7 linked regions of the Oryzias latipes genome follow. The protein of the gene in region 5 interacts with the protein of the main gene of each other region in a pairwise test. Links are inferred from orthologs where the notes say so. Each region holds a gene or a part of one and is shown on either strand. Other genes may lie near its edges. The genes, in order: ess2, sirt6, dihydropyrimidinase-related protein 1, sumo2, vim, mrpl44 and beta-taxilin.

Region 1 (3,939 bases), on a different chromosome or scaffold from region 5:
TCTATTATTAAAACTACAGATTCTTTTTGATAAAAAACAAGGGGTGGGAAAAAATATGTTTAGTCAATATTGCAATGTCTAAGTGAAATGGGATTGAATTCAGATGAATTATTTGGTGAATATGCCTATGAAAGAAACTGAAAGGGTTCATACCGTAAGCAATCTCTTATGTTACAATCTCCATTTCCAATTATGTGACTTAAAATATTTATAAATGTCTGTGTGCCTCTTTTGTTTGGTTTATTCGATCCTAGCTATGGTTTATTTCCCGGGTTTCGATTTCTCCTCAGACCCAGTTTTATTGGTTTTCTTTTGATAATCATCCACAGCTGTCTTCAGGTCAATCATCTTCAGTGCATTTAATGTCTGATATTAAGCTTATTTTACTTTTCATGGGTCATTTGCTTTGTCAATTTTTTTTACACATTTTGTTTCATGCTTTTTCTGTTTTTGAATCGTTTTGCCAAAACTATGATTATTTAATAAAATTTTAATGTCTGCCACAAGCCTATTTTTTTTAGCACTTTGGGACCTACATGATCGGTTCCTGCTGACACATCCGTCTTTTTTAGACTCTCAGTCACTGGATACAATTTTATAAATTTCAAATTCAAAACTAAATCCACATTTTTAAAAAGGTACTTTGGGGAAAAATCAAACACTTGGTTTTAAACCTGTTTCTTTCCTAAGCTGCAGTTAAACAGAAATTGCTGCTGTCCACGTATCCAGCTTGTTTATTGAAAAAATGTAGTGTAAGGATGTTTAGAATTTCACGGGAAGTGTTGTCATTAGAGAAAAAGGGAATCATGTGAGTATACAGGCTTACCTAGAAAAAAGCTTAAACTGCTTTAAATAACCTCTTGTTTCTATTATCTTTCTTTTTTCTGTCTGTTAACTCCTTTTGGAAATATTGCTTTTCATGTGTGTATTATAATTGCATATGTTTCAGTTTACATGTTGCTATGAAACAATAAAAATAAAAAAATATTGTGGCAGGTATAAATGATTTAATCAGAAAAGAAATAGACTGACACTGAAAGCCAAAAAGGTAAAGAGTTCACCTGAGGGTGAAGGAAAACGTGACAGGAGGAAACGTTTAGTGGGCACTGCACTAAAAGGAATTACCACTAGATGGCAGTGCCAGTCAAACTGGAATGAAGGTCACATTTCTCTCCCAAACTGAAGAAGAGAAGAGCTTCCGGTTAGATTAGTGATCAGACATTACGTAAGTCCGTTCTGATTACGGGTGTTTTGATTAACATCGAGGGTTGATTTATCCAAATTATTTATTCACAACGCTTGTAAGAAATTTAAATCGCCGTTATCGAGTTAAATAATCACTTCCTGTTTTATATTTAGTGTTTGTTTGAAGTGGGAAGCTAGCCTTTACTTTCCAGGCTAGCAGGCTAATTCTTTGGCTATAATGGAGGGTAGCGCAAGCGTGAGGAGAGCGTTGTCCGGGACGCTCGTTCCCTTAGCGATCTCTACAGTAGCTCTTCGTGAGCCCGAGCCAAAGGATAAAGGAAAGCTGAAGAGAAAAGTCCTCGATGAAGAGGAGTACATTGAGGTAACGAAGCCAGCGTCTCGATATGTTTACGACTGCGTGAAGATTTCATGTGAGCTAGCTTGATCGATATTTTGGTTTGTAACTGACTGTACTTGTCTTGTGTTTTTCTCTGGTCTACTTTTGATAGAGCTTAGAGAAAATCATCCAAAGAGACTTTTTCCCAGATGTGACAAAATTGCAAGCTCAAAGGGATTATTTAGAAGCAGAAGAGAATGGAGACCTTGAGAAAATGAGAGAGATATCCATCCGATTTGGATCTAATTTGACCAAATCAACCCCACAATCCTCTGCACCTTGTGAGTAATAAACCAGTCTTTCTGTTTCTGTTTGTGTAGACGGAAAGAAAAACAAAACTTCTTTATTCGATTTGTTGTAATTATTATTCTGTTGTCTTACCTTTCCTTTGTGAGCCAGATGTGACCCCAGCCAGCTTTGAAACCCCAGTGGGCTGTCCAAAATCTCCATCCTCCAATCACTGCAGCAAAGTTTCTGAAGGGGGTTAGTTTTAAATGTTTGTAATCAACTATTTACATTTGTAACGATTTAGTCTCATGTTCACAATTTCATATAAATTGGCTTAAAAACCTCAGTTCCTGTTTAAAAGTCATCTGTCTATATGTTACATTCTTTATCCATGTGCTCAGAAATTGCTAAGCATGAAATGGAAAATGTTAGGCCTACAGTTGGCGAGCACTAAATCATCCCTGTCTTTCATGTATGATTTTATAGAGCATAAGGAGGATGATGGGGAAGACAAAAAGCTTCCCAATCTGGACCGTTTTCTTGCCAAAACTACCAGTGAGGATAATGCCTCCTTTGAGCAGATAATGGAACTGGCAGAAGATAAGGAGAAGCTGAAGCATGCCTGGTTGTATGAAGCAGAGGCAGAGTTCAAACAGGTTGGTGTGAAGCAGTTATGATAGTGAGGCTCACATGACAAGCTTTGAAGCTACAACTACATTAGAGATTTTGTGGTAATACACTCATGGCCTCTCTTATGTAAGCCAATTATGAAATCTGTGAGTTAACGTTTACCAGTTTAATTGTGTCTGCCATATAACTGCATCCAAAAATTGCAGCGATAATGCTTTGAAAATGTCTTGCCTCAAAAGCTTTCTTTCTTTCTTTTCAGCGCCACGAGAATAATCTGGCTTTACCACCGGCGGAGAAAGCTGCGCTAGAATGTGTAAAAGCTGGTCTAGAGACGTGGGAGTACAAGGCAAAGAATGCCCTTATGTATTATCCAGAGGGTAAAGTATTCATTTAAATTATTTCCTATACTGAAGGTTTACAGTAAGCCCAGTCTATTTGAGATTTTTTATTTTATTTTATCAGGTGTTAAAGATGACGACAGTGTCTTCAAAAAACCAAGAGAAGTGGTCCATAAGAACACTCGGTTTTCCGGAGACCCCTTTAGCAACGCTCTCAACAAAAGCCAGATACAACAGGCAGCAGCTCTCAACGCACAGGTACACTGTTTTATTTTAAAACACAATTTAAAGTATCTCATGTGTACAGCTATGAAGTGTTTTTTTCTTACCTGGCAGTGCTACTAACAAGTCATCTTTTCCTGAATCGTGTTGCTAACATGATGTTGTGTTTTTTTCAGTTTAAACAGGGAAAAGTTGGTCCGGATGGAAAAGAGCTAATCCCACAGGAATCCCCCACAGTGAACGGATACAGCTATGAGAGAACACCTTTGGTCGCACCTGGTGAGTAAACCACCGTGGTTGTGCCTGAAGACTAAAACTTTATATGGAGTTGTTGGGATCCTATCTTAATATGTCTGTCCAGCTCAAGATTAACCCATAGTTTCACAGCAGAGCGGGTTTGTCATGCCTTTGTTTTCCCTGTAAACACAGAGCTGTATACACTGTCTTTTTTTTTTTTTTTTTTTGCATCTGCTACCATAGTAATTGTTTTTCTGAGGAGAAAACACGCTGCTGTTTCTTTTTTTTCCCTAACTTTGCTGAAGCTGAAGTTTCCTTTGAGGCAGCAAAATTATCTATAGGCGGGTTTCATGTGCTCTTTCTCCTTAAGAAGCTTTCGACTAAAAGTATTTGTTGTTTTTTAGGTGTTTCTGAGTCCCCTCTTATGACCTGGGGTGAGATTGAGAGCACCCCATTTCGCTTGGACGGCTCAGACACTCCATACATTGAGAGAAACCATGGCCCATCCTTTAAGGTGCCAAACTTAAAAAAAATAAATGAAATAATTGTTGTTTTCTAGCTCCTTTGCATTTTTAAAAATGTGAACATTGCCATTGTTTGTTTGTTGTTGTTTTTTGAAGATTCCGGAGCCAGGAAGGAGGGAAAGGTTGGGTCTGAAGATGGCGAATGAAGCTGCGGCTAAAAACCGTGCAAAGAAGCAAG
Region 2 (3,500 bases), about 6.9 Mb from region 5:
TGACAATAGGAAAATTTATAGGAAATTACCAGCTATTGAGATCATTGTATTCATACAAGTTGCAGGTTTTATTAGCCTTGAGATTTTCAGACTAAGGGATTTTTTTCCCCCACAAATAACAAATGAAAAAAGGTTTTCTTATATGAAAATATGTTGCTTAAATAAAATTACATTAAAAGTATAAAGCTATTTCTTATTGCTATGCATATAAAACTTAAAAACAATAAGCTTGAAAGAAAAAGAAAAGCCTGGCAGAAGAACATTTTAGAGAAATAAAGTCATTTTTGTTGGTGGTAGCAATCTGTGGAGTGCGGATGCTTTTGAAGTCTAAATTTCCATAAAACTTAGATAGCGAGTTATGATTGCATGCTTTCTTTAAATTGGATAGACTCAGAAGATTTTTGTGTTTTTTTTCCTTTTGTCTTTTGTTGAAAAAGTCATGGAAAAAAAAGTTAGGATGGCGCTACCTCTGATCTAGGTAGAATGGTGCTTTGGAGTTTATAGGCATTTTGATACATATATGGCTGTTAGATTTTATTTTGACAGAGTTTATCCAATTTAAACAAAGCACGCAATAATTCCTTTTGTAGAAATCCATACTTTCAGGTATGTAGCATCCCCTCTTCCCAGATTTCTGCCACCAATGCAAATGACTGTAGGAAAAAAGGGTGAGCGTGTGTGCTGGACATAGGGCCAGAACTTGTCCGGGTCACTAAGCTGTCATTCAAAAACATTTGGCCAAAGATAACAGAAGTTGCAGAAACGCCTCCCAACTGTGGGAAATGTGTCAGATTTGCAACTGCAAAAAGATCAGGTGACACGACGGAACACAAACACTTTAAGCGTATTCAGCGGTGGGGAAAAAAAAACTATAAACCTAAAAATAAAAATAAAAGAATATTCTGTTAAAAAGAAAAAAAAACAGCAATACTACTAAAGCCTATTCCAAACTTTTTTGTGCTATATTCAAAGCGTTCTCAGTGGTCATTTTTTATGATTATACTCTTTTTCCACAAAATCCCAAAAACCTCAGTCATTTTCTAAGACATAGTTTCTGCAGAGCAGCAGTGGTTTATTAGAAATTTGGTTCTGAGTTGTGGGCGGGACTTTTGGCGCAGAGCAACCCCACCCTCCCTTTCCTTCACCACCGCAGAGCGGAGCAGGGAGCTTGTGGCCCGCCCACCGTAGTTTTTATGTCACAAATAAGCTCTTTGTGAAACTGCTATTTTTTCGTTTGCTTCTGATTCACAACAATCTGAAGAAAGGCATAGTCTGCCACAAGCACACATTAAAAACACCATTCTCGTCGGTGTGGGTCTTCATCAAAAATGAAAATTGAAGGGTTGCATTTGCAAAATAGGAGATGGCCTTATCGCGATTTCTAACTTTTGCATCAAAATAGAAATTTTTGCTTAAAAAACAGGCTCTCTTAAAAATCCTGCAATACAAACCACAAAAATCTAAGAAAAACATAAAAATGAAATAAAAATCATGCACCCAAGTGGTCATTTGTAGAACTACAGTCTCAGCGTGTCTGAAGATTTGGGTTAGGATCGTTTAGACAACATTCTGCTAGTTGGCAAAAAAAAATAAAAATCTGTTAGACTAATTAAAATGCGTCTTTGGATTTGTATTAAGAATTTTAAGGACATCAGTAAATGTTTCCAAGAAGAACCAGTTGATGTGTGCGTGTGTCATTACTGAGACGTGTGAGTGACTCACATGCTTTGTGGGCTGCAGGTTGACTATAGCTATCCTCCCTCCTTTGCGCTTTGTGAGGAGTGGGAGGTCTCCGCTGGGTTTGATCTGCATGGACGTGCCCAGAGTCAGTGCCAGGTCTGCTTTCCTGCATGCCAACAGAAGGAAAGAACATCTCGCCTAAATAGGACACCAACGTTCTTATTTGCCCATTCCTGCTGAAGGGGGAAAGCATATATGTAGGTGTACATAAAAGAGTTGGGGGGAAAAAAAAGACCCTGCAGTTCCTGGGTGAGGTGGTTGCAGAGAAAATGTCAAATCAATTTATAATTAATGGCGTCACTTCAACATGGGCGTAAGATTAAAAGAAATTAGTGTTAGATGAAGTTTCAATCATTTTCAGCTGTATAAAAACTGTTTTTTTGGGACAAAATGTTAAGTTCAAAACTTGGAATCCCGGTTTCTCTTTATTTTTACAAGGTAATTAACGGGTGAAGTTCAGTTTTTGAACTTATTCGTACTTACAGTGGCGATGAAATACAGAAAATGCACAGCTTTTTGCTAACTCTATGCCCATCTCTAAAATAGATATTTCAGTGCAACAGACTTCCATTTTGCAGCAAAATCTTTTCCTCGAGGTTCTGTGAGCACATATATAACAAAATAAGGAACATAACTCCTCTCAAAAAGCGGAGGTATGCACAGCATGATAGCAGACTGCCTTCAAGATTAAAGCCCCTCTGTGCTGAATGACACGCAGCTTTTTCCCATTTTCTTTCTGCCGTCAACAAACAACCCAGGGTTCAAAGGTCGCTGCTCCAAATCTGTATTTTTTTTCCTATTTGAATAGTAATTCAACATCTATTATGTGGCTGCACATCAAAGTGACACACAATTCATCTTACTGCTTTTAAACATGCGCTAAGAGGTTTTATGGATAAAGGACAGAATGAGAATCTTCTGAGAGAGGAAACATTGGATGCAAAATGGTGATCCGTGAATAAACCCCCCCGAAAAAGGGGGCTTTCGCTTCACCGTTTCTCTGGATGAGAGAACGGCGACACCAAAGCCATGCAGCTCAAACAAATCAATCCAACACTTCATTTCACATTTCTCACAACAAAGCAAAGGTTTACTAAAGCTGCTGCTGTTTGGCAAATGATGAAGAAGGAATGTCAGAGGAAATAAGCGCTGAAAAGAGTAGAATCTGCGCGTTTTGTGGTTATAAAGAATCCTGATGAAACAAACGATGCACCTTCGATCGTCTCACCTGCTTGCATCATCCGCTCGGTTCAGATCCCTGTCAGGAAGTGCGTCCTCCCAATCCAATATTGTGCTGATCAGCTTCCCTCTTTTATAAATCAAACAACAAAAGCTTTATTGTGACATGCCGTTGGTAAATGTCTGAGCTGCAGGAGCCCACCATGAGTTACCTGCAGCCCCTCAGTCCTCTGGATCGCACCACACTGCAGAAACGGCCTGTTGGTTTGAGTCCCATCACGCCAATCACCTTGTCTCTGACATATTGTCTGGATAACGACAGATCCCACAATGCAACAGTCACTGCACACATCTATTTTCTTTCATATACAGGTATATAGAAGTACATGGGGAAACAACAGAAAAAAAATGTGAGAACAAACCTGTAAAATATGAGAAAATAGCCTAAATTTTACTTTAATGAAGTTGAAAACTTACGTATGAGAAAATAATTCAAGATTTAACAACAACAACATTTTATTTGAAGAATGTTGTAAAATTATGAGAAAAAAGTTTACATTTTGCAAAAATAAAGTCCTACA
Region 3 (3,500 bases), on a different chromosome or scaffold from region 5:
TCCACATAATATCTTTTCACATCTGTATCCTTCGTGTTCTCACCGACTGTTGCTGTTTCGCAGTGATGGTTTTGACAATGTCTGGGTCCCAGATGACGATATCTGCATCAGAGTCCACAGCGATGCGTCCCTTACGAGGATACAAGTTGAAGATTTTAGCTGCGTTGGTTGATGTGACTGCCACAAACTGGTTCTCGTCCATTTTCCCCATGGCCTAAAGAAACAAAAGACACAACGTTAAAGATGGTTTGGCTGACAGTTTACGCAGAAACACACAGGCCCTCAGATCTCACCACAGCCTTGTCCCAGACGAAGCCCATCCTCTCCTCTACCCCGTTGGTTCCTTCTGGGATCAAGGTGAAGTCATCTTTACCGATGGCTTTCTGAGATGTGCTGTAAGCACAGTGAGAGCTGCCCACAACCTGCAGGTCCCCGCTGGGCCAAACAAACACAGCCAAAGACATTATAAACACATAAAAGCGTCAATAAGCCCAAAACAAAAATATATACTATTCATTCCCAAAAATCAAGATTAAGCAGACAGTTCAGAGAAAAAAAGAGATGCCCTCATGTAACCTAACTGAAAAACATGTTGCACTTTTGTATAATTTAATCAACCGCCATATAACTATGACAATCAGTAATATTGTTTTCTTCTAAATAATACTATTAGATGTTATACTGAACTAGGAGGACATCCAATCAAGCAACTAAGCATTACTGCTGCTAAAACATGATGGGCAGCATGAAAATCTGACAGGAAGCTCTCGACCATAGAAAAAACAAATTCTAAAAATACATTTTGTCCTTCAGGTAAGGATCAAGGACAACAGCAGGATCACACGACTGCTGCGACAGCATTGACACACCTATAGAGCAGAGTAGGAGGAGGAGGAGGAGAGAGGAACTTGGTCACCAAGGCAACTAAAGATGAAGGATTCTGGTTCCTAAGCTATTTTTAGCAACAGGAACAGTCAAAATCAACAGTTTTTTCTGGGCGTGTGCATGTGTCTGAGGTGGAGCAAAGCTGGGTTTTTGCTTCATCCACCTCCATAAAGCTTTGGTCTATAAAAAACTATATAAACAGATTTGTAAAAAAAAGGGATACAATATAATTAGAAAATGTTGGGATGTATGGCAAAAATAAAAATAAAATTGAAAAGACTTAACTCATACCTGGCCAACAGGGTGTGGAGATGTTCTGGTGTGGTGGGGTCAGGACTTAAAGGTGGAGAGGTCACATAGGCAGCTGCTTTGGCCCAGTTTTTGCTCCAATAATGAGAACCGTCCGTCGCCAAGCCAGCTGTAATTGGTTCTCCAAATACCACGGAACCTAGAGTGGAAAATAACAGAAGTATAACACTTGAAGTCGATGAACAAATAAAGTTATTTCTGAAAAATATAATCAAATGTTAGAAAAGGTTAAAAAAAAAACAGAGCTGTGCAAACCTTTTCTGCGGGCCTGAGCGATGGTGTCAGCGGCACTCTTGCTCATCACTTTTGTGATGTAGACAGGACAGTTCACACAGTTACCGAGGGTGATGGCACGAAACACAGCCTCAGCTTCCACCTGCATAGAAAAATAAAGGCAGATTGATGAACCTCTGTGCTACTCATGAACTGATACTTATAGGATATAAAAGATACCTCCTCAGGACGACTCAGAGGATGCCCTTCAGGACCAGTGATTCCCATCCCAAGGATTTTTCTTTGTTCCTATACGAAGATTTAAAGAATCATTGTCATATATTATACTCTGTCAGGATTAAAGCAAGGGGAAGTGAGCTGTTAGTCACAAATGTAATCTGAGTACTAAATTATATCTAAGTTAAGTAATGAAGACAAAGTTTAACAAATATTTTACTGCATTATTCGCAAAAGGCTGGTTTCCGTGTTTCTCCTTGAATAATCTCCAGTATTAGAAGTAACTAGTTACAGCAGCAAATTATTTTAGATATCTATTCAATTTTACTCATGTTCAGTAACTTGTAAATTCCAAAAACAGACAAACCGCCCAAAATAAAAATGCTAACTGAGATCATGATATTTTATCAAATTAAAACAAAAACCTTTAACAAGATCTTTTTGGGATATTGTTGATTACTTCAAAGAGTTTTGAAATTATGTTCATACTTAAAATAGTGAGCCAATTTTCCTAGAGATTACTAAAGATCATAGACACAAACTTTATTTGTCACTTTCCTCAATAACTATTAGGTCCTGTCTTTTCTCTGAACCAATATCTGTCGGTTCTGTTGTTGTAGACTTGGTGTAGTAATAGTAATCTGTGTTTAACAGGCACTATTATTGTTTCAGTCTTTCTGAGACACATACGTCTCAGGTTCTGTGTTCAGTACATACCGTATATTTTTATTTGATCGACTAAACTACCGGTAACTAAGCTAAAGCGAAGAGTTGGTCCTGTAATTTGTAGTCCAATGCTTAAAAAAATAATATCTAAAACCATTAAAGCATATCTACTACTTTTGCAGATATTACAAGAAGGTAACCAATAGTATTGCAAGAGTCATGTATCACATTACAATTCTTAGATATAATATTGTTAAGGTCAGGTTTTACTTTTGAATACCAATAGAAAGTAATCTTTAATGCATTAGCTTGGAAGTAACTTGCATAAAACTGACATATCTCTATATGTTAGATATGTCGGCAATCATTTCATTAGTACTCAATGTATTATCAATGATCCTAGCTGTTATTCTACACTACCATTGTCATATCCAGAAGTAATATCAGTTCTGTTGCATCTACAGGCATCCCTTAGCATCAGATTTATCTGTCATTAATCTGATTATAATCAGAGGTAATGATCTCCAAAATATAAGTCATTAAGGGCATAATGACCTGCTTAATGTGCATCTGTCTCTACTAGGTGTGAGTTTACGTAGATAGAAAGACAAAATGATGTATTCACCTCAAAAATCAGGTCTCCGTTTTCGGCATGTACTAACACAACAGCCCCCAGCTGCTTCAGAAAGGAGAATGCCTCATACAGCTGTGGATGTATAAAGAACAACAAACAGTTTAACAGAAAAAAATTAAAGGCTTCTAAAAACATCTTTTTGAGAGAGAAAAGGATTTAGTGAGTTTGCATCATTTGGGCTCTTAGGGATGATGGTGCATACCTGAGAATCTGTCATCTGGTACACATCTTTATAGGCCATGTACACTTGAAAGGAGTTGATACCTGAAAGGAGTAAAAAAAAAACTGCATTGGCTTCATTGGAGCAACAAGAGTAAATCATAATAAAATCATAATTCTGGGATAAAAAGAAGAAAAGAAAATCTAGGAAAGAGATCTATACTAATTTAGGAAGCAAAGCATCATAATAAAAATCATATCTTCATATCCTAAAACAACTCTTCCAAATTAGAAGCCCTTTAAGACACAGAATACTTTTACAATTCCCACAAACAATTATTTACTTTTACAAAGGATTATAGATGAAGCATGTCCCTTGTGTCACAAGAACGGGCAG
Region 4 (4,091 bases), on a different chromosome or scaffold from region 5:
CTTATATAGGGATATAAAAACATATTCCTTGGGTAATACAAAGTTTAAATGATCTAACTACTTTTTAACGAACCTTTACTTTTTGTATAAGCGTTGTGATTATGATAGTTTTCCTGAATCGCCACCGTTTTGTGTGTTTGTTGTCTAATAGGGGATTATACTTACCTGTCTCTCACAATATGCCTTCATAAGTTTGATGAGCGGTGTGTGTCTTTTGATCTTGAACTGCACGACAGATCCATCCTGACCTGCTACCTTTAGATTTATGTGTTCGTTATTTTCAGTCTTCACTCCTTCCTACAAAAAGAAATAAATAAATAAAGAAATAAATAAATAAATATTGTAACGGTTTAAGAAACAACAAACAGGACAGGTCATTTTAGACACAAATAACAGTGGTTCCTTGCATAACAAATACCCCACACACAAAAAACTATCTGCCTTGGATGCCTGCATGCCTCGCAAAACAAATTAACATCACGTAACGAAGCCTGTTTGCAGCGAACAATTGATTTTCTGGGGGAAAAGGCCAAATCCAGACAGTTGTGTGCCGTGTCATTCAGATGAAGACTGTTACCCTTCGGTGCAAGGCTCGGTACAGTGCTTAAAAGCCGCCAATCATCCCCATCTCCTGGTTAGGTTATTGAAAACAAACAGACTGGACGCCAGTGTGATGGCAAACCTGGGCATGTTTGTTTTTTCCTCTGTTACACAATGCAGGCCAGAGCCTCTGGTTGTGATAAATGGTACAGACCGTCCTCTGGGCAGGACCACTATGGCAACAGCAGCCAGTCGCACCAAAACTACATCGCATGTGGGATCATAATCGCCCACTTACTTGTTGGTGGCAGGTTCCCATGAAAACCACAAACACGTGTAAATAAAACCATAAAGGTGGTGCAGCAGGCATTAAGAAGATAAAGCATGTTTGCCCCCATTTGGTTTGGTTTCTTCTGGTTTTTCTTTCTTGAATATTCTTTTTTTTAATACTATTTTTCTTTAAATTTGTAGAACGGATGACATGATTTTCCAAAGTCGATGTGAAATCTGGCAATGTGTGCAACATCGCCACAAAAAAGAGGAATAATGTAGGGAAATAAAATTTCCAGCTCCATCAAAAGAGCGCCGACAGGTGAGACGGACTCTCCTTGAGTGGCCTAATATTGAGTGGAGAATAGGTCTGTTCTTTAGCTTCAACAGGTTGAAGTTTCTTAGTCACCCTGGCTGGAAGAACTTAGCCAAAGTCTGTTTCTCCTCCATTTTTGAGTATGTTCCTGAAATGACCATGACCTTCAACAAATTCACTAGTCTGTAGACTTCAGTTTGGTTGGGGTGCCACTGAATGGACGTCTTGGTCCTACTTCTTAAGTGTGTTCTTGATGGTGATGGAAGGAATTGACCTTTTGCTCTTCTCATCTTCTGAGGAGAGTCATCCCCTTCTGTTTTTCCTTAATGGGTTTGTGTCCAGGAGGTCTTTTCTCCTCCTTGGTGATGCAAGTTGGGTCACTTCTTCCAGAAGAGGCCATTTTTGCTTCAGTTGAAAAGCTGATGAGGGCTGTGGCCTTCTTCCCAAACTAACACCTGAAATTCTCCTGCAAACCTCTCAGCAGCAGCTTTGTCGGTCCTAGCTACCTCTCCGTGCAAGGCCACTCAAACAGCCTTGGATTCTTCTTCTTCTGTTTTAGCTCCTTCTGCATTTGTACTTCTTTATTTCTTCATACCCTGACTTTCTCGCAGATGAGCTCTGCCTCCGTCTGCCTCTCATCTTCATCTCTGAATAGTTTTCTGACCTCGTTGCTGTTCCCCCGTGGTCATACAGTTCGGCAGGACGCACCTTGAACGTCAGGTGCAGCTCGATGGTTTCTTTCTTTGTTTCAATGCTCAGAGCTTTTCTGACCATTAACACACCTATTGATAGGAACCATTTTTCTTGGGGTTCAACATTCAAAATTTAGAGACTAAGAAAAAAAATTAAGAAGACCTGTCCTCCAATTAAGAAGACCTTTAACTTAAGGAAACACGATCCAAGACACACAACAAGTCACACCTATGTACCTGGATTTAACCATTCTGTTGTACCAGAAAAAAGTTAATTTAATTTATTTATTTACAAAAAAGGTTCGTTTTGTGAGGCAAGTGGGTTGCAATGTTTATCATGCAGATTGTTTGTTCTATAGTTCTTTATGTTTGTCAGAGTGGAAAAATAAAAAGATAAAATACCAGAATTACCAGGGATAGAAACATAATTGTAGGCCGTATGAAAAACAGATGCTAAAAAACACGTATTCATTGTTAAATATTAGTTTCAAGTATTTGAATATTTTATTTTTGGTATCCAGTTGTTATAACCCGTTTTCTTCAACGAGTCAAGCCAAAGTGTTGCAGACTGACTAGAACAGTTTAGTCTAGAGACTAAATACAAACAGTTCGTTTTCTTGTTTATTTTTTCCATTCTGGTGCGTCATTACAAAACACAGACAACTTAATTACCACACAAACACAACGCAAGAAAACCGCAAGATTTATAGAGAACGACACCAGCTGGTTGGCGGGATGTAATCAGCCTAAAAGCGACGTGCGCGCCAGTCCATGCGCGCTCACATACCTTCCGGTCCATCAAAGTAGGTACAGTTGAATCTTATCACTTAACTTTTTTATTTAAAAAAATACGAACAGCACACGCGGGAATGTAAATTCACCTTTAAGATCGGCGATCCAGTTAATTTGTAATAGCATCGTAATTGACAATGGGGTCACTTACCTTTGGTTTTTCATCAGCCATCGTCACTCTTTTGGCGCTTCTCTATGCTACCACACAAAGAATATGAGTGCGCGCACGTACTCGTTCCCGTTTAAATTATTCGGGGAAACGTGCGCGGGCATGTGTCAATGCGCGTTCACTGAACAAGGATTTAATTGGCCGCATGAAGTCACGTGGACTAAAGCGCAGTCTAGTTATGGGCGGGAGACTACCGCCTGCGCGTTACAGAGATACTCGGCTTCACATGCACGCGCACGGCAGAATTTTTCCCTTTTGTTTTTGGTTTAGGTCTATTATATACGAAGGAAATCTGTTCATCGTCACGCCGAAGACTAGTATCAGTGCTGCACGTTTCATAAAGCGCCCATATGATCGGTATTAGATGTACAGCGTGATATATTAGTACTCTCCTTATTTTAACCCCTCATTATAGCCCAGTGGCCATCTTGGTTTTTCTTTCTTTTTTTGTTACAATAAAAAACAGGCACCGACTAAACGACAACATTTACCGATATGGCGATATATTTTCTAAGATAGCTAACTTATATAACGTTTTAATGTATATTAACAATATGATACGATTGTATCTTCCTGATTCTGAGAATATGTTACACGTTTTCGGAATAAAATTACTTCGACTTTTAAATGTATATCGATTCTAAAGATAGTGTTATTTGCTTCAGTCATGTCAGTTTTCTTGACGTAGATTAAAAGTAAAAGAAAGTACTGTACTTGCAAATTTAAAAAAACAAAAAACAAAACAGGCATTAAGTAGGACAGTCCTACATTTGACGCATGCGCGAGATAGTCGTAGAAAAAGAGAGGCGCGCAAGCGTTGCTATATTATAGCACGTGTTAAATGGCATGATTAAGGTGAAAAAGTTCATAGTTTGAAATTTAAAAGGATCTAAAAAGTTTCATCCGATGGAGGAGGTAGACGTTGAACCGACGATAACCGTAAGTCTTTCGTACTATGTAGTTTATTGTTATGCGCTATCGAATAGCAGCTAACAAGTTAGCTAAGCATTTTGAATTTTGTAAATCCTAAAATTCGGAATAAAAAAATACACTAGTAGTTAATGATACAAACACAAAAGTTTATGATGAAATGTTACGGACCGACATTACGAGTTGGAGGTTTCGTAGCTAAAACAATGTCACAGTTGACATGTTCTTGGATATAAAGAAACAAACTTGGAACAATGGTTAGAAAATCAAAATGTAACGTTATTTTTGTCTTCTACGTTTTGTTAAGTTATTTTGTGCTTTGTCAAACAAAGAAAGGTAAGTCTTTTCCTGGACATTTTTGAGTCCAGTCTCTGTCTTAATG
Region 5 (4,296 bases):
TGGATCTGTTTAAATCAGCTAAGCTCTGGCTATCGAAGCCAGAAAAGGCTACAAGCTTTTCTCAAAATCAGCACAGTCCAGAATGTTTCGTCCCATTAGGAGCTAGGACATGATTCTCCAAAATGAATCCAAATCCTTTTGCTGCGTATTCTTGACAAAAGAAAAACTTGATTTAAGACTCAAAAAATCTCAAAAGTTCAATCTATGTTCGACTGACACTCGTTATTTTGGAAACAGAAATTTAGATTTATGTTCAAAGAATAAATGCTAGTTTGAGATTTGATGAGGATTTATTCAAATGGACTAACGTCTAAAATGAGTCATTTCCACTAATTACACTAGAGTTTTGTCACTGTAATAAAAAAGAAAAAGTACAATTAGGTTCATTAAAACTCAATAAATACAACAATTTGCTTAGAACTTTGTAAAAAAACCTTTTTATTGGGTTGTTTAACCTTCAGTTTGAAGTAATTCTGTTAACTTTTTGAGCTTATTTCTCCCTTTTTTAATGTGGAACTCCTTGTTTCTTTACGTTGATATTTTATGAAAAGATTTCTCATAAACTAAAATGACTTGCTGCATGAACAGATACATTTACTGCTTTCTAGTGATCTTTAGTGTTCTTTTCCAATTTTTAGGTTACTCATGTTTTCAGTGTATCCCTGAACACAACTCAGTAACACTGCAGCTTTCACACCATTACCTGCCTGTCAATAAATTAAAGTTTGATGATAAACCAACGCCCGAAGGTCCCAGCAACACCAAAGGAGGCTCGCTTTGGAGGTTTAAAGTGTCACTGACTCAGCTTTGCTGCATGTTTTCCTGCAGAATCTGTGCAATTCAGCAGCGAGAAAGCAGCAAATCTAGTGAGAAAAGAGAGCACAAGAGGAAGGAAAAAAAGGATTAGAGCATCATGACTAATTTTTGTCATGTTTGAAACTGGTTGAAGCGGCAGTCTGTCTGGAAAGCTGCATTTTCAAATCCTGGAGCAGTCGGTCTCCCAGTTTCTCTCCAGATCACTGACAGTGAAACACTGCAAACATGGAGTATTTATTGTCCTCGCATTGGAAAATATTTCCAAAACGTGTGACACATTTGCACAAGACCACCTCATGCACTGATCAACCCTTTTAGTATGGTTGGGGTGGGGTGGGAGGGGGGAGTCTCATGACACATTTGAAATGACCAAAGGCTCCAAGGAGGAAAAAAACAAATTAAAAAAAAGCAAATATTTAACTAAGTTAAAGCATGAAATGGATGAAGATCTGATTCCAAATAGTCACTTGGTTTGTGGATTATGCTTTTCTTCAGGAATCAAAGAAAATTGAGTGTGAAAGAATCTGATGATCACAAATTCTTCTCTTCCTTGGATAACGAGCTCCATTCAGAGTTTATAAATGGAGCCCGAAGAGGAGGAGATCCTTTACTGGACCCACCACGCGTCACTCAAAACCCACCGCCGCATTTGCATAAGGAGGAGACTATAAGCGGGTGAAGATGCAGGAACCGCCCATCCAGGCGCAGTCCGCGGACGCAGCTCAGGACGCACCAAACGCGCGCAGCATCACCCCCGGAGCTGAAGATGTCCTACAGATCTGCCCCCCATTCTTCCTACAAGAAGATGTTTGGGGGTGAACAAGCTTCGGCCAGAAGCAGCTACTCCAGCCGCCAGTTCTCCAGCCCGGTTCGGTCCAGCCGGGTCTCCTTTGGTCTCTCCTCTGCCCCAGTTTACGCAGTGAAGACGCAGAGGCTCCGGAGCAGCGCCGCCATGCCCCGGCTGGCCTCCGAGAGCCTGGACTTCTCCCTGCACGACGCCGTCAACAGCGAGTTCCTCACGAACCGGACCAACGAGAAGGCCCAGATGCAGTCCCTCAACGACCGCTTCGCCAGCTACATCGAGAAGGTGCGCTTCTTGGAGCAGCAGAACAAGATCCTGCTGGCGGAGCTGGAGCAGCTGCGGGGCAAAGGCACCTCCCGCATCGGAGATCTCTACGAGGACGAGATGCGGGAGCTGCGGCGCCAGGTGGACCAGCTCACCAACGAGAAGGCGCGCGTGGAGGTGCACCGGGACAACCTGGCGGACGACATCGAGAGGCTGAGAGAGAAGTAGGGGAGGGGGCGTGGCCCTCGTGGTTCCGCTTTTCTGTAGGCCTGTGTGGCTGGTCGTGTAAAATATCCCCACATCACTGATATTATAGAAATAAAGTTTGCAGAAATAGAAACGGAAACACATGAAAAAAGTTTAAGAGAAAGTTCCCAATTCCAATAAGTCTTGAAAAAGTGTCTTTTCTCTGACTTTTGCAGGCTGCGTGATGAAATTTCCCAGAGGGAGGAGGCTGAGGCAACCATGCAAAGCTTTAGACAGGTACTGCTGGATCCAACTCAATCCTTTCCACCCCAACAAAACACAAATGTCTTATTTTCAAAGGTTTTTGCTGCAGAACTCTTAGTGAGAACCGGGATGCTGATCTTAATTTCTCCAGTTCTGCAGTGTTCTTCCACTTCCAAACCTTTTAAAACGTTAAATCTGTTACCTTAATTTCCATCTATTTAACAGCAGGTTTTTATATGCCGTGGGACGGATGTGCTCCCCAGCAGATTACTGCTGAGCCAGTGGAACGGTAGAGTACAGGCTGACCTGGCCCTGGCTGCAGAGGCCAAGTTTTGGCGTGTTGTGCTCAGTCAGGCCTGCAGTGAAAGCAGATTGTTTGAGTCTGACTAGTCACAGAGAAAGGGCAGGACTACAGTGTGGATCTCAGAGGGATCAGACATGTGACCAGAGCTGTCCCGTTCCCGGATCATCAGACTCTCACTTGTTTTGGTGTGGCAGTGGGACTGTCCCGCCGTCACAGGGTGTCATGGTGAATCATGTAAATGCAAAAAAAAAAGGCCTCATGTTTCAAGATAAGTGAACATTTTCTGACGACTGTTTAAGAAAATAAATGGCTTGATGTGGAATTTGTGTGAGCGACAGGATGGATGGCACTGAGACAACAATGCGGCGGCCGCAGCTCCTGCTCAGTCAGGCAGACAGTCACTCTCCCAGCCTGGGGCTTGCTGGGAAAACCCTGCTGAATAGCCCACTTTGTTTGTGGCATTAGTGTGGGAGGGGGGTGCTGCTGCTTCATTTGCTGATACGTCAATTACAAGCCTGCCAGCGCCCCGACAAAGCTGCAAAGCTGCACGGTGCCACTGCAAGTGCATGTGAGTTAAGAGAAAAAGAAACTGATTAAAAGAAAAAAAAAGGGAAACTTTTAATAATGGAATTAATTTTCTAGTCTAATGAACCGTGGAGAGTTTTAGTTTGAGAGTGGAGTCAGCTAATAATAAAAAAAAGAGATTAGGAAGCTCTACAGGAATGCTTGGTGGTTTGGGATGCTCTGAACAAAAGGTATTTTAGAAAAGTCCCAGTGAATTGCTCCCTTGTCCCTCCTAAAATAAAGCTATGCAGGCACACAAAGGCCACCTCAGGTTCCTTTCTATTCATTCACACAAATCTGCTGGTTTCCTGTCATAAATTAGGTGCACATCTGGTCAGAATGTGGACAAATAATGAGACACCTATTTTCAGCCGTAGTAACCCTGGAGAACCCAAGGAGTCAAATTTGGCCACTGTTTTTTTTTAGGCTGCCATCTGGACTCTTCCATTAAAAGATCTTTAATAAAGTGCTAATAGTGGTTTTAGTCTATCACCTCAAAGCTCTTCGAACAACACTGGCAACCTACTTGGGAAAAAAATGTCGGTTGTAAGTTTCAGATTTTGAACGGCTGATTATGTTGAACAAAATATTAGCAGTTTTAGCTTAATTAGTGTCTTTGTACAAAGGTAATTTTGGTTGCGAGGAAGCAGGCCGTGTCACACAGCCACTACCTACATATCGCACATTTTCCCTCGTATGACATGTCTGTCTGTTTTGATCCATGCGTGATTTACGTCATTCATTAGTGTTTCTTGCGTTCGTCATTCGTGGATGTGCGCAGATGTCCGTCGAGGGTTTCAGCCAACGGGCCTTTACATGATTTTAGGTTTTGAGCTGCTCAAAATTTTTGGTCGGTATAAAATTACGCAGTTTACGCATATTTAAAGTACAGTATACGCGTAAGACTCACGCAATTGTGTGTGATTTCTGCAAGATGCATTTGCAAATTTGTGACCTTCTACAACCGTTCCACGTTTGTCTGACAGACTTTTCACGCACAATCTCCAGATGCATAATATTTTTATTGTGCACACGGCGCAACTATCACGTATGACCACGTATAGTGGCTGTGTGACACGGCCTTCAGCCCGCGAGG
Region 6 (4,192 bases), on a different chromosome or scaffold from region 5:
ATTTCCAATCTACAGTAACTCTTCAGCCTGTAGGCTATCGTCCCGCCGGCTCGTCTCCTTTATAAAGTTCGGTGCTGAGGCTTAGTTGCTGTTTCAGTTACTGACTGACTGCAGTAACGGCTGCTGAAGCTGTTGTGGGGAGAAATCGAAGGGCCTGCGATTCTCTGTGAAGCCGTAAAGTTTGCGGAGAGCCACTCGAGCGGCTTCTTCCTCTGCGCCGACTAGAGTCTCTCCTGGACCCTGAGCAAGGAGCTTCTGGTCACTGAGGAAGACAGGAGACCAGAGAAGTTCAACATCCACGCAAAAGTGAGAGAAAATATCCTAAGCAAGTAGTTTTAACAATCCTGAATCCAACCATAACTGCACTAGTTTGATAATTATGTCTTTGTGGTTTGGTAAGGTATTATGCCGTACCTGTATAAGCCGACAAAGTAGAGTGGCAGGACAGTGCTGGCTCCAGCAGCCCTGATGAGACGAGGCTCAGGCAGAGGACACTTCCTCTCTGTCAGCTCCTCCACCAGCAGCCCCATGGGGTCCACCACAGTCCACAAATCAAACAGGTCTTTTCCGATCAGCTGAGTCGACAGGAAATCCTGGGGAAGAAACAGGAAGATGGGAGAAAGGAATAACGTACCAGTTCTACATCAACACAGATTGAGCGCTCACCCTGAGAAAAAACCCCGTTCGCTCTGCTCCACTGCTTTCCTTCAGAGCTCCGATCAAGGCCATGAATGTGGAGCGGAGAACCTCGTCGGGAACGGGGAAGTCTGCACTCATGCTCAGGTCCTCAACGCCCAGGTTTCGTGCTACATGAGACACGGTGGCTGCGCTGGTGAGGTTCCCCACTATGCTCTCCACCCCCACAACCGGGAGTCTCGGGAAGTTAGCCCTGCACCAGTCGCTCAGGAAGCTTTTGGCGAAACGCTCTCCGCTGTTCCTCAGCTGAACGTTGTCCTTCAGAGACAGAGCCGTGCTCTCAGAGTCCACTCCCAGCTGCTCTCTCCTCTCCCGCTCGGCGCGCAGATAACACGGGTTGATGAAGGCCGTCTTCAGAAGCTCCAGGGAGAAGTTCTCCTGCAGGCGGACGCTGAAAGCCTGGACCTCGGCGTGGTAATCCCAGTTAGGCTGCTGCCACCTGCAAGACATGAAACACAGGCAACCTGAGAGACGCAAAACGGCAGCTCAGGGGTGAATGCTGGATCCCTACTGCCACAACAATCACAATCACCTACTCTCTTTTTATCTTTAAGAAAGGCTCTAAAAACTTGTCATTCATTACTACTTGACTCACTTTTCTTGACAATATTCTTAGGTATATATAGTAATAAGCTTGGGTAAAAAAAAAAAAAAACAACTTTCAAAAGCAAAAGTCACTTTTTAAAGGATTTCTTAGATGTTAAAGGCCAAAGAAACAGTTAACCAGTTAAGAGTTTTTCTTATAACAAAATCCAATTGCTTTTCTAAAAGAAAATGTAATAATATTTAAATGAATCATTTGCCGCAGAGGTGAAGACGAGCAGAAACTATTCAACCCAACTTTATGAGTAAGAACATTAAAGTGAAACTGAGACATTTAAGAAATAAAGAAACACAGGAAAACAAGGTTGACTCAAATTGCAGAAGTTAAATAACATCAATCCCAGCAAGTCAATTTCAGCAGGAGAGAATGAAGTAATAAAAAACAGAACCTGATTTCAAAATATGGAAAAAATAATTATAGCATGACAGGTTTACACGTAGTCCTTTCAAAATAAAAGACATGAATCTCAATGCATCAAATGTAGTAGTAGGTAATGTAACGTCGGCAGTGATTAAATACACATGTCTATACTGTATATTATAGTTAGTGTGGCTCCAGAGTCCTGTCCTTTACCCTAAGAGCCAAAACAGGGATTGAATGAGCAGACCTGAAACATCACAACTGTATTGTTGTCACTGAGGCTTAAAAGAATTGCGGTTTTGGTGTCTATATAGTATATTTGCTATACTTGTACTTAAGTATACCTAATAAAATTAACTTCAAAGAAATATTGTGTTACAACCACACTACTCTTTTTTTTCCTTCTTCAGATGCAAACAGAACTCCTCTGGATAAATTCAGAGACATGATGATCCATTGACTTATTGTACTTTTGTAGATGTACCAAAACAGAGCCCTGAGGGACTCCTCGGGGAACAGGTGAGGCTCCTTAGTCACATGTTGCTTAAGGACTGAATGGACGTTTTCATTGTCATTGCTCTCTCTGTCTGTCTGTCTCTCTATATGTTTTACTTATGGTACTTTTTCAAGTATATATAGTTGTCCCCCCCCCACCCCCCCCCACACACACACACAAACTCAAGGTCCAAAAATGTCACATTGAAAGAAAAAAAGGACAAGCAAGCACTCTTTAGTTTAGTTGTCCTTTGGTCAAGGAGAAAAATAATTAATTGCAACTTAAAACATTGTTGTTTTATCTAGGTAAAGCTGCTTTATTTTGCTAGAAATGAGAAGGCCGTTCGCGGCCTCTTAACTTGTGTTGCAGACCCTTACCGGGGCTTCGGAGGCGGAGGCCCTTCGAGCTTCAGCTTCTTCGCCATCAAAAACGTGTACGCCTTCATCCACCTTTTCTTCTCTCTGACCTGCAAAAGCGGGACGCTTCTGCACAGCCGCTGGCTGTGAATCCCTAAAGTTAACACGCCGCGGTTTAACAGAAACCCCGCCGCCATCTTTCCTTCACCCCTGACAGCAGCGCGTGCAGGTGCAGCTGCTAAAAGCGTCCGGCATGAAACAACCAACCGGCTTTCCGCCCGCGTAGCCATGGAAACGAACACAAACCGCCCCATTTGCTCAAACTGCAACTCAGACGGTCGTCATATTTCGTTAAAAATCTCGGATTTCCAATTCGCATCCACACTCGTCTCCTCTGTGGAAAGAAATGGAGGACAAAGAGGTTTTGACCGATGAAGGCCACAGCAAAAATCCCCCCAAAACCTCAAATTCTGACAAGTTAAACACCTCTGTGAAGGATGACTCTCAGGAAGAAATGAAAACTTTCCAAAGATTGTCTCTTGGAGGGAAGGAAAACTCCTTGTGGCCACGGATGACAGCGGCGTTCCTCAGGGATCTTTGTAAGCAGAACAAACTCTACATGACACCCCACCTGAACGACACATTGTATCTGCATTTCAAGGGTTTCTCCAGAATTGAGAACCTAGAGGAATACACAGGCCTGAAGTCTCTCTGGCTCCATAACAATGCCCTGGAGCGCATCGAGAACCTGGATGCCCAAACTGATCTGCGCTGCTTGTTCCTCAATGATAATCAAATATTGAAACTGGAAAACCTCCAACCACTGACCAAGCTGTGCACCCTGAACGTGTCCAACAACTACATTTCTGTTTTAGAGAACCTCGCCTACCTTCCCAGATTAAGCACCCTGCAGGTCGCCCACAACAAGTTGGAAACTTTGGAGGATGTAGCCCATTTGCGTCAATGCCTGGCTATTTCTGTACTGGACTTGTCCTACAACAGCTTGCATGATCCGGAGATTGTCTGTGTACTCGAGGCGATGCCAGAACTGCGGGTTCTCTATCTGATGGGAAACGAGGTGGTGAGGAAGATCCCAAACTACCGAAGGAGCTTGATAGCTCGCTTGAAGCAGCTCACCTTCCTTGATGTCCGCCCAGTGTTTCCCAGAGATCGGGCCTGTGCGGAGGCGTGGGCAGCAGGAGGGCCGGAGGCGGAGCGGAGGGTGATGGAGCAGTGGGAAACCAAAGAGAGGAAGAAGATCCAGAAGAACTTGGAAGAAATGGCAATGATGAGACAGCAGGCCCAGGAGAGACGTTCCCTTCAAGAGCTGCAGGAACAAGGTAGTCTGGTTTTATCCCATAACACTGTACTCAGAAAAATCTGTTTTTTTACAGTACAGTTCTTTGCTTTTAGGTGAAAGCCTGAAGGCCATAACCCCAGAAAGCACATGTGAGGAACACAGCAGTGGCACGTCAGCTTCTTCTGCACAAGAGGAGGCCTTGGGGGTTCCTCCAGTTCATGTTGCCGGACCACTGGTCACAAATCTGGATGACGAGGAGCAGCTGGAAACCATTCACCTTGAAGATATTCCATCACTGTGTGTCGATGACCTGCCAGATCTAGAAGATGATGATGAGGAAGATGATGAGGAGGAGGAAGAGGAAGAGGAAGAGGAGGAGG
Region 7 (3,951 bases), on a different chromosome or scaffold from region 5:
AGAACTGTCCTTAGCAACAGCTGGAGCACAGCGAACACCGGTCTTCTGTTTTTAACGGGTAAACAAACGGTGATTCTCATTTTAAGCAGCCGTGAGGCGGCAGAAACAAAAACGTGGGTCAGAATTTCACTACGTGGTCAGAATCTACAAAAATCTAGTATCTGAAATTTCCCCAAAGTCTGCAAAAAACCAGTGTGCATCGATGATTGCCAACCATAGACCATAATGCATTGCGTTTGAACAATTTTTGTACAAAAAAAGGATTTAAAAACGCTTTTATAAACCATCCAAGTTTTCATCATCATTGATTCGTAAAATGTCTTTGCCAAATATTTGCATTGATTAGGTTTTTACTTAGTGAAATCGGTGACGTCATATTTGCGTTTAGAAAAAGAAGTAAGGAGCGTGAAAACCGGGTGTCCACTTAAGCTAATGGGGGCAAACATGGAGGGCCCACCTATGTTCTGCGTCCTGATTGGCTGTTGTCCATCAATCTCTTCGACAAATGCATTTGTTCTACCGGATCTACATAAATCTTTACCCGCATTCTCATTTTATAAATCTTGGATGTTGTTTTTTATCAAGGTTGGAACTTTTAGGGGTTTAGACAAAAAAGAGAAAAGTGTGAAGATGTTCCTGCCTGTCTGAGACACGGGGATAACGTGAAGTGAGGAGTTCTACAGCCTTAAACGTCTGTCATCCTACAGGGGGTTATTTTGACACCGTACACTAAGGAGCAGCGCACACAATAATACTACAATGAATGTAAGAACTCTTGAAGAGCAGCAGGGAAGTCTGTTTTGTTCATTGTTTTCAGTGCAGCGGATGGCGGAGCTCCAACAGAGAGGGAGAAGCTTCTCCAGAACCGTTCCCGGTAGTTTCCAGCCTACCTTGGTGGACTTGAAGGAGAAGTGGAGAAAAAGACTGAAGATGTTTCTCTGGACAAAAACAAACAGAGATCAAGGATTATTCAGAGGTTTCCAAACAGAATCTTGAAGTGGACGATCAATCTAAGGATCAGGCACTGGAGAAGACCGATCAGCTGCGTTTGTGCGCTTCATGATGCGTTTGGTGAGAACAGCAGACAGACTGAGACCACAGTCAAAAGATAACTGGGTTTTATTCAGAAACTGGTTTAGGGTGAAAGCTGCTGATGTTATGGTGATGTAACGGCGTCTTTCTCGTTTCACTAGAAAGCTTCCTCATTCTGTTTCCGTATTTATTACCAACCAGGACGAGATCCTCTTAACAGCAATGGAGGCAGCTTTCAGAGGTTTTGACCATAAAAAGGTAAGAAAACTAACTTCTGCTCAGCTGGTAGCTTATCTATTATGTCTACAGTTTTTTATGTTCGTTGCAGAGGATGGTGGTGTATTTATTAGCTGTTTAACTTTTGCTTTAGTTTAAAGTTTCATAAAGTGTGTGTGGGGGGGTTGATTGGCAGGTGGGTATCCTTGTGTCCCGCTCAGTTCGTCCATCTTTGGGGTAGGTCTCCATGTTTAGGTCTGTTTCTAAAAGTGGTCTTTTAACGAGGATGATGCAGTTTTTAGCCAAAATCCAAAAATCCCCTCGAAGCTGTTGGTGGTACAATTGGCACAGAGTAATCCTACCCCCTTCTCCCATCATCCATCTGTTTACAAACACTCCCTCTAGCTTACAGCCCCTCACAACCCCCAACCTAACGTCAGAGCAGCATCAGATCCATCCATCCGTCCGGTTCTGATCCAGATTCCAGCTCAGACCAGGAAAACAGAGACGTTCATAGATCTGTTGGTCTGCAGGTGGATGATCAGAAAGGGGAGGAGCTAGGAGGTCGTGGCCCACCGGGCGTATTTTCTACATCACAGACACGATAACAGCTTTTTTTCAGCTGCTCCTGATCTGCATTGATTTGGATAAAGAAATGCGGCTTTAAGATCTTTTTTCATTTAATTTTTTATAAACGTCCTCCACTATGACATGAATGCTACTGAACGTGTTAAAAACCCCAGAAAGAGCGCCTTGATGGGAGTTTTCACAGCACAGCCGTGCGTTCTGCCGTCGCCGGCTGTGATTTTGTCAGCTTGTGTCAGTCTTGTACAGATCCTGTTTGTGAGCATAAAATTAGTGCAGCCTTGGCGCTGCCTGTGCTTTCACAAGCGCAGCACATGGCACCTGTTCCACAGCCACTAGCTATTTTAGGAACTTCTTAATATGGGAGCATTATTTATTTATTTACTCTCTAATCTCCTCGTAGTGAAGCCAGAATCGGCGGTTGTGACACCAACAGCTCTCTGGTCTCTATCTAGCTCAAATAACAGAGAGGTCCAGCAGCAGCAGCTCAGTTCTGTGAAGGATCTGCTGTAAATTCAGCATTTTGACTGAGGAACGCGTTCAAACAGAGACTTGACAAAGACTCGACGGAGCAGGGATGGATTTCTCACTGCGGTTAACAGCCTCTCAAACAGCTGCTAGGTTGCGTGCAACACTTGTTAGTATGTTAATGAGCGGATTATTTCCAGCAGAGGCTTTTTCGTGGTTATTTTTCATGGTTATTTCAGTGCAAAGGCCTGCTGAGAAGCAGGACAGTGAGAAGACACGGTCTTACCAGGACCAAAGGCCGGAGGGGAATAGGCAGCGTGTCGAGGGGCTCGGACGACCTGCCACCACAGACCCAACAGCTGTGATAAGACCTCCTCAAAATAAACCAGGGAGGGGGCTCAGTCTGACAGGGAGAGGCAGGACGCTCTGCTGCAGGGTCAGAGCTCCCCCACGGCTCAGAAGGTTTTCCTCTAAACTGGTTCATGCAAAGCCTGGTCTGCTCTGCGCCGCCGCTGCCACAGCGTTGCTGCTCCTCGCCGTATAAACGCAGGAGCTGATGCTGACAAATAAACCCAGAATGCAGTTTCACAAGGTGAGCGCTATTCTTAGAAGCGTTCATTTATTCTTCCTGCTGCTGTGATGACGGCAGAGATAAATTCACACGTGAAGTCGTCCCTGGAAGGACTTCGCCCCACTTTTCACGCCTTCTTTTTTTAACCTTCAATTAAATGGAGGTGATTTCCAAATAAAATCATGTCATATCGCTGAATATATATATATGATTTAGAATCATCACGCATAGATGGAAACATTTCAGATCAGGATGTGTTCAGCTAAAGGTCAGTCCTCTGAAAACGGATCCTTTCCATGTCCTCAACGTTTGGTTTGAGTTTCTGCATCAATGCTCTGTGGTTTGGAGACCACCGTCAGCGTGTGGAGCTGCTGAGCTGGAGCAGTCCAGGTTCCTCCATAAGTTTTTACATTGTCTGTCTTCAGGTCGTCTGCGTTGTCTGTCTTCAGGTCGTCTGCGTTGTTTGTCTTCAGGTCGTCTGCGTTGTCTGTCTTCAGGTCGTCTGCGTTGTCTGTCTTCTGGTCGTCTGCGTTGTCTGTCTTCAGGTCGTCTGCGTTGTCTGTCTTCAGGTCGTCTGCGTTGTCTGTCTTCAGGTCGTCTGCGTTGTCTGTCTTCAGGTCGTCTGCGTTGTCTGTCTTCAGGTCGTCTGCGTTGTCTGTCTTCAGGTCGTCTGCGTTGTCTGTCTTCAGGTCGTCTGCGTTGTCTGTCTTCTGGTCGTCTGCGTTGTCTGTCTTCAGGTCGTCTGCGTTGTCTGTCTTCAGGTCGTCTGCGTTGTCTGTCTTCAGGTCGTCTGCGTTGTCTGTCTTCAGGTCGTCTGCGTTGTCTGTCTTCAGGTCGTCTGCGTTGTCTGTCTTCAGGTCGTCTGCGTTGTCTGTCTTCAGGTCGTCTGCGTTGTCTGTCTTCAGGTCGTCTGCGTTGTCTGTCTTCAGGTCGTCTGCGTTGTCTGTCTTCAGGTCGTCTGCGTTGTCTGTCTTCAGGTCGTCTGCGTTGTCTGTCTTCTGGTCGTCTGCGTTGTCTGTCTTCAGGTCGTCTGCGTTGTCTGTCTTCAGGTCGTCTGCGTTGTCTGTCTTCAGGTCGTC

The links.
Region 1: the proteins of vim (region 5) and ess2 interact in a two-hybrid assay, tested with the Homo sapiens proteins (2 studies listed by BioGRID and IntAct). The link is inferred for Oryzias latipes from reciprocal best matches to the Homo sapiens genes VIM and ESS2.
Region 2: the proteins of vim (region 5) and sirt6 interact in a two-hybrid assay, tested with the Homo sapiens proteins (2 studies listed by BioGRID and IntAct). The link is inferred for Oryzias latipes from reciprocal best matches to the Homo sapiens genes VIM and SIRT6.
Region 3: the proteins of vim (region 5) and dihydropyrimidinase-related protein 1 interact in binary tests that used the Homo sapiens proteins (3 or more experiments, as listed by UniProt). The link is inferred for Oryzias latipes from reciprocal best matches to the Homo sapiens genes VIM and CRMP1.
Region 4: the proteins of vim (region 5) and sumo2 interact in a two-hybrid assay, tested with the Homo sapiens proteins (2 studies listed by BioGRID and IntAct). The link is inferred for Oryzias latipes from reciprocal best matches to the Homo sapiens genes VIM and SUMO2.
Region 6: the proteins of vim (region 5) and mrpl44 interact in a two-hybrid assay, tested with the Homo sapiens proteins (2 studies listed by BioGRID and IntAct). The link is inferred for Oryzias latipes from reciprocal best matches to the Homo sapiens genes VIM and MRPL44.
Region 7: the proteins of vim (region 5) and beta-taxilin interact in binary tests that used the Homo sapiens proteins (3 or more experiments, as listed by UniProt). The two-hybrid records come from large-scale screens. The link is inferred for Oryzias latipes from reciprocal best matches to the Homo sapiens genes VIM and TXLNB.

Annotation. Positions count from the first base shown.
Region 1 is NC_019870.2:13,790,326-13,794,264, forward strand, and holds the start of ess2 (splicing factor ESS-2 homolog), read left to right. Parts: upstream 1-1,139; 5' UTR 1,140-1,423; coding exon 1,424-1,567; intron 1,568-1,694; coding exon 1,695-1,863; intron 1,864-1,981; coding exon 1,982-2,065; intron 2,066-2,296; coding exon 2,297-2,466; intron 2,467-2,699; coding exon 2,700-2,817; intron 2,818-2,902; coding exon 2,903-3,036; intron 3,037-3,176; coding exon 3,177-3,279; intron 3,280-3,641; coding exon 3,642-3,751; intron 3,752-3,857; coding exon 3,858-3,939. UniProt on the Homo sapiens protein: May be involved in pre-mRNA splicing.
Region 2 is NC_019875.2:22,352,921-22,356,420, reverse strand, and holds part of sirt6 (NAD-dependent protein deacetylase sirtuin-6), read right to left. Parts: intron 3,228-3,500; coding exon 3,132-3,227; intron 3,050-3,131; coding exon 2,969-3,049; intron 1,847-2,968; coding exon 1,723-1,846; intron 1-1,722. UniProt on the Homo sapiens protein: NAD-dependent protein deacetylase, deacylase and mono-ADP-ribosyltransferase that plays an essential role in DNA damage repair, telomere maintenance, metabolic homeostasis, inflammation, tumorigenesis and aging.
Region 3 is NC_019859.2:12,435,185-12,438,684, forward strand, and holds part of dihydropyrimidinase-related protein 1, read right to left. Parts: intron 3,209-3,500; coding exon 3,147-3,208; intron 3,017-3,146; coding exon 2,936-3,016; intron 1,717-2,935; coding exon 1,648-1,716; intron 1,571-1,647; coding exon 1,450-1,570; intron 1,334-1,449; coding exon 1,177-1,333; intron 436-1,176; coding exon 294-435; intron 215-293; coding exon 44-214; intron 1-43.
Region 4 is NC_019866.2:13,022,579-13,026,669, reverse strand, and holds the start of sumo2 (small ubiquitin-related modifier 2), read right to left. Parts: upstream 2,801-4,091; 5' UTR 2,783-2,800; coding exon 2,762-2,782; intron 298-2,761; coding exon 166-297; intron 1-165. Other genes in the region: nuclear pore complex protein Nup85, read left to right, coding at 3,686-3,718. UniProt on the Homo sapiens protein: Ubiquitin-like protein that can be covalently attached to proteins as a monomer or as a lysine-linked polymer.
Region 5 is NC_019875.2:29,289,743-29,294,038, reverse strand, and holds the start of vim (vimentin), read left to right. Parts: upstream 1-1,496; 5' UTR 1,497-1,582; coding exon 1,583-2,106; intron 2,107-2,304; coding exon 2,305-2,365; intron 2,366-4,296. UniProt on the Homo sapiens protein: Vimentins are class-III intermediate filaments found in various non-epithelial cells, especially mesenchymal cells. Vimentin is attached to the nucleus, endoplasmic reticulum, and mitochondria, either laterally or terminally.
Region 6 is NC_019871.2:22,983,078-22,987,269, forward strand, and holds the start of mrpl44 (39S ribosomal protein L44, mitochondrial), read right to left. Parts: upstream 2,801-4,192; 5' UTR 2,710-2,800; coding exon 2,534-2,709; intron 1,136-2,533; coding exon 667-1,135; intron 594-666; coding exon 415-593; intron 263-414; coding exon 94-262; 3' UTR 1-93. Other genes in the region: dnaaf1 (dynein assembly factor 1, axonemal), read left to right, coding at 2,919-3,852, 3,926-4,192. UniProt on the Homo sapiens protein: Component of the 39S subunit of mitochondrial ribosome. May have a function in the assembly/stability of nascent mitochondrial polypeptides exiting the ribosome.
Region 7 is NC_019880.2:1,119,718-1,123,668, reverse strand, and holds the start of beta-taxilin, read right to left. Parts: upstream 2,801-3,951; 5' UTR 2,786-2,800; coding exon 2,588-2,785; intron 939-2,587; coding exon 891-938; intron 1-890. UniProt on the Homo sapiens protein: Promotes motor nerve regeneration. May be involved in intracellular vesicle traffic.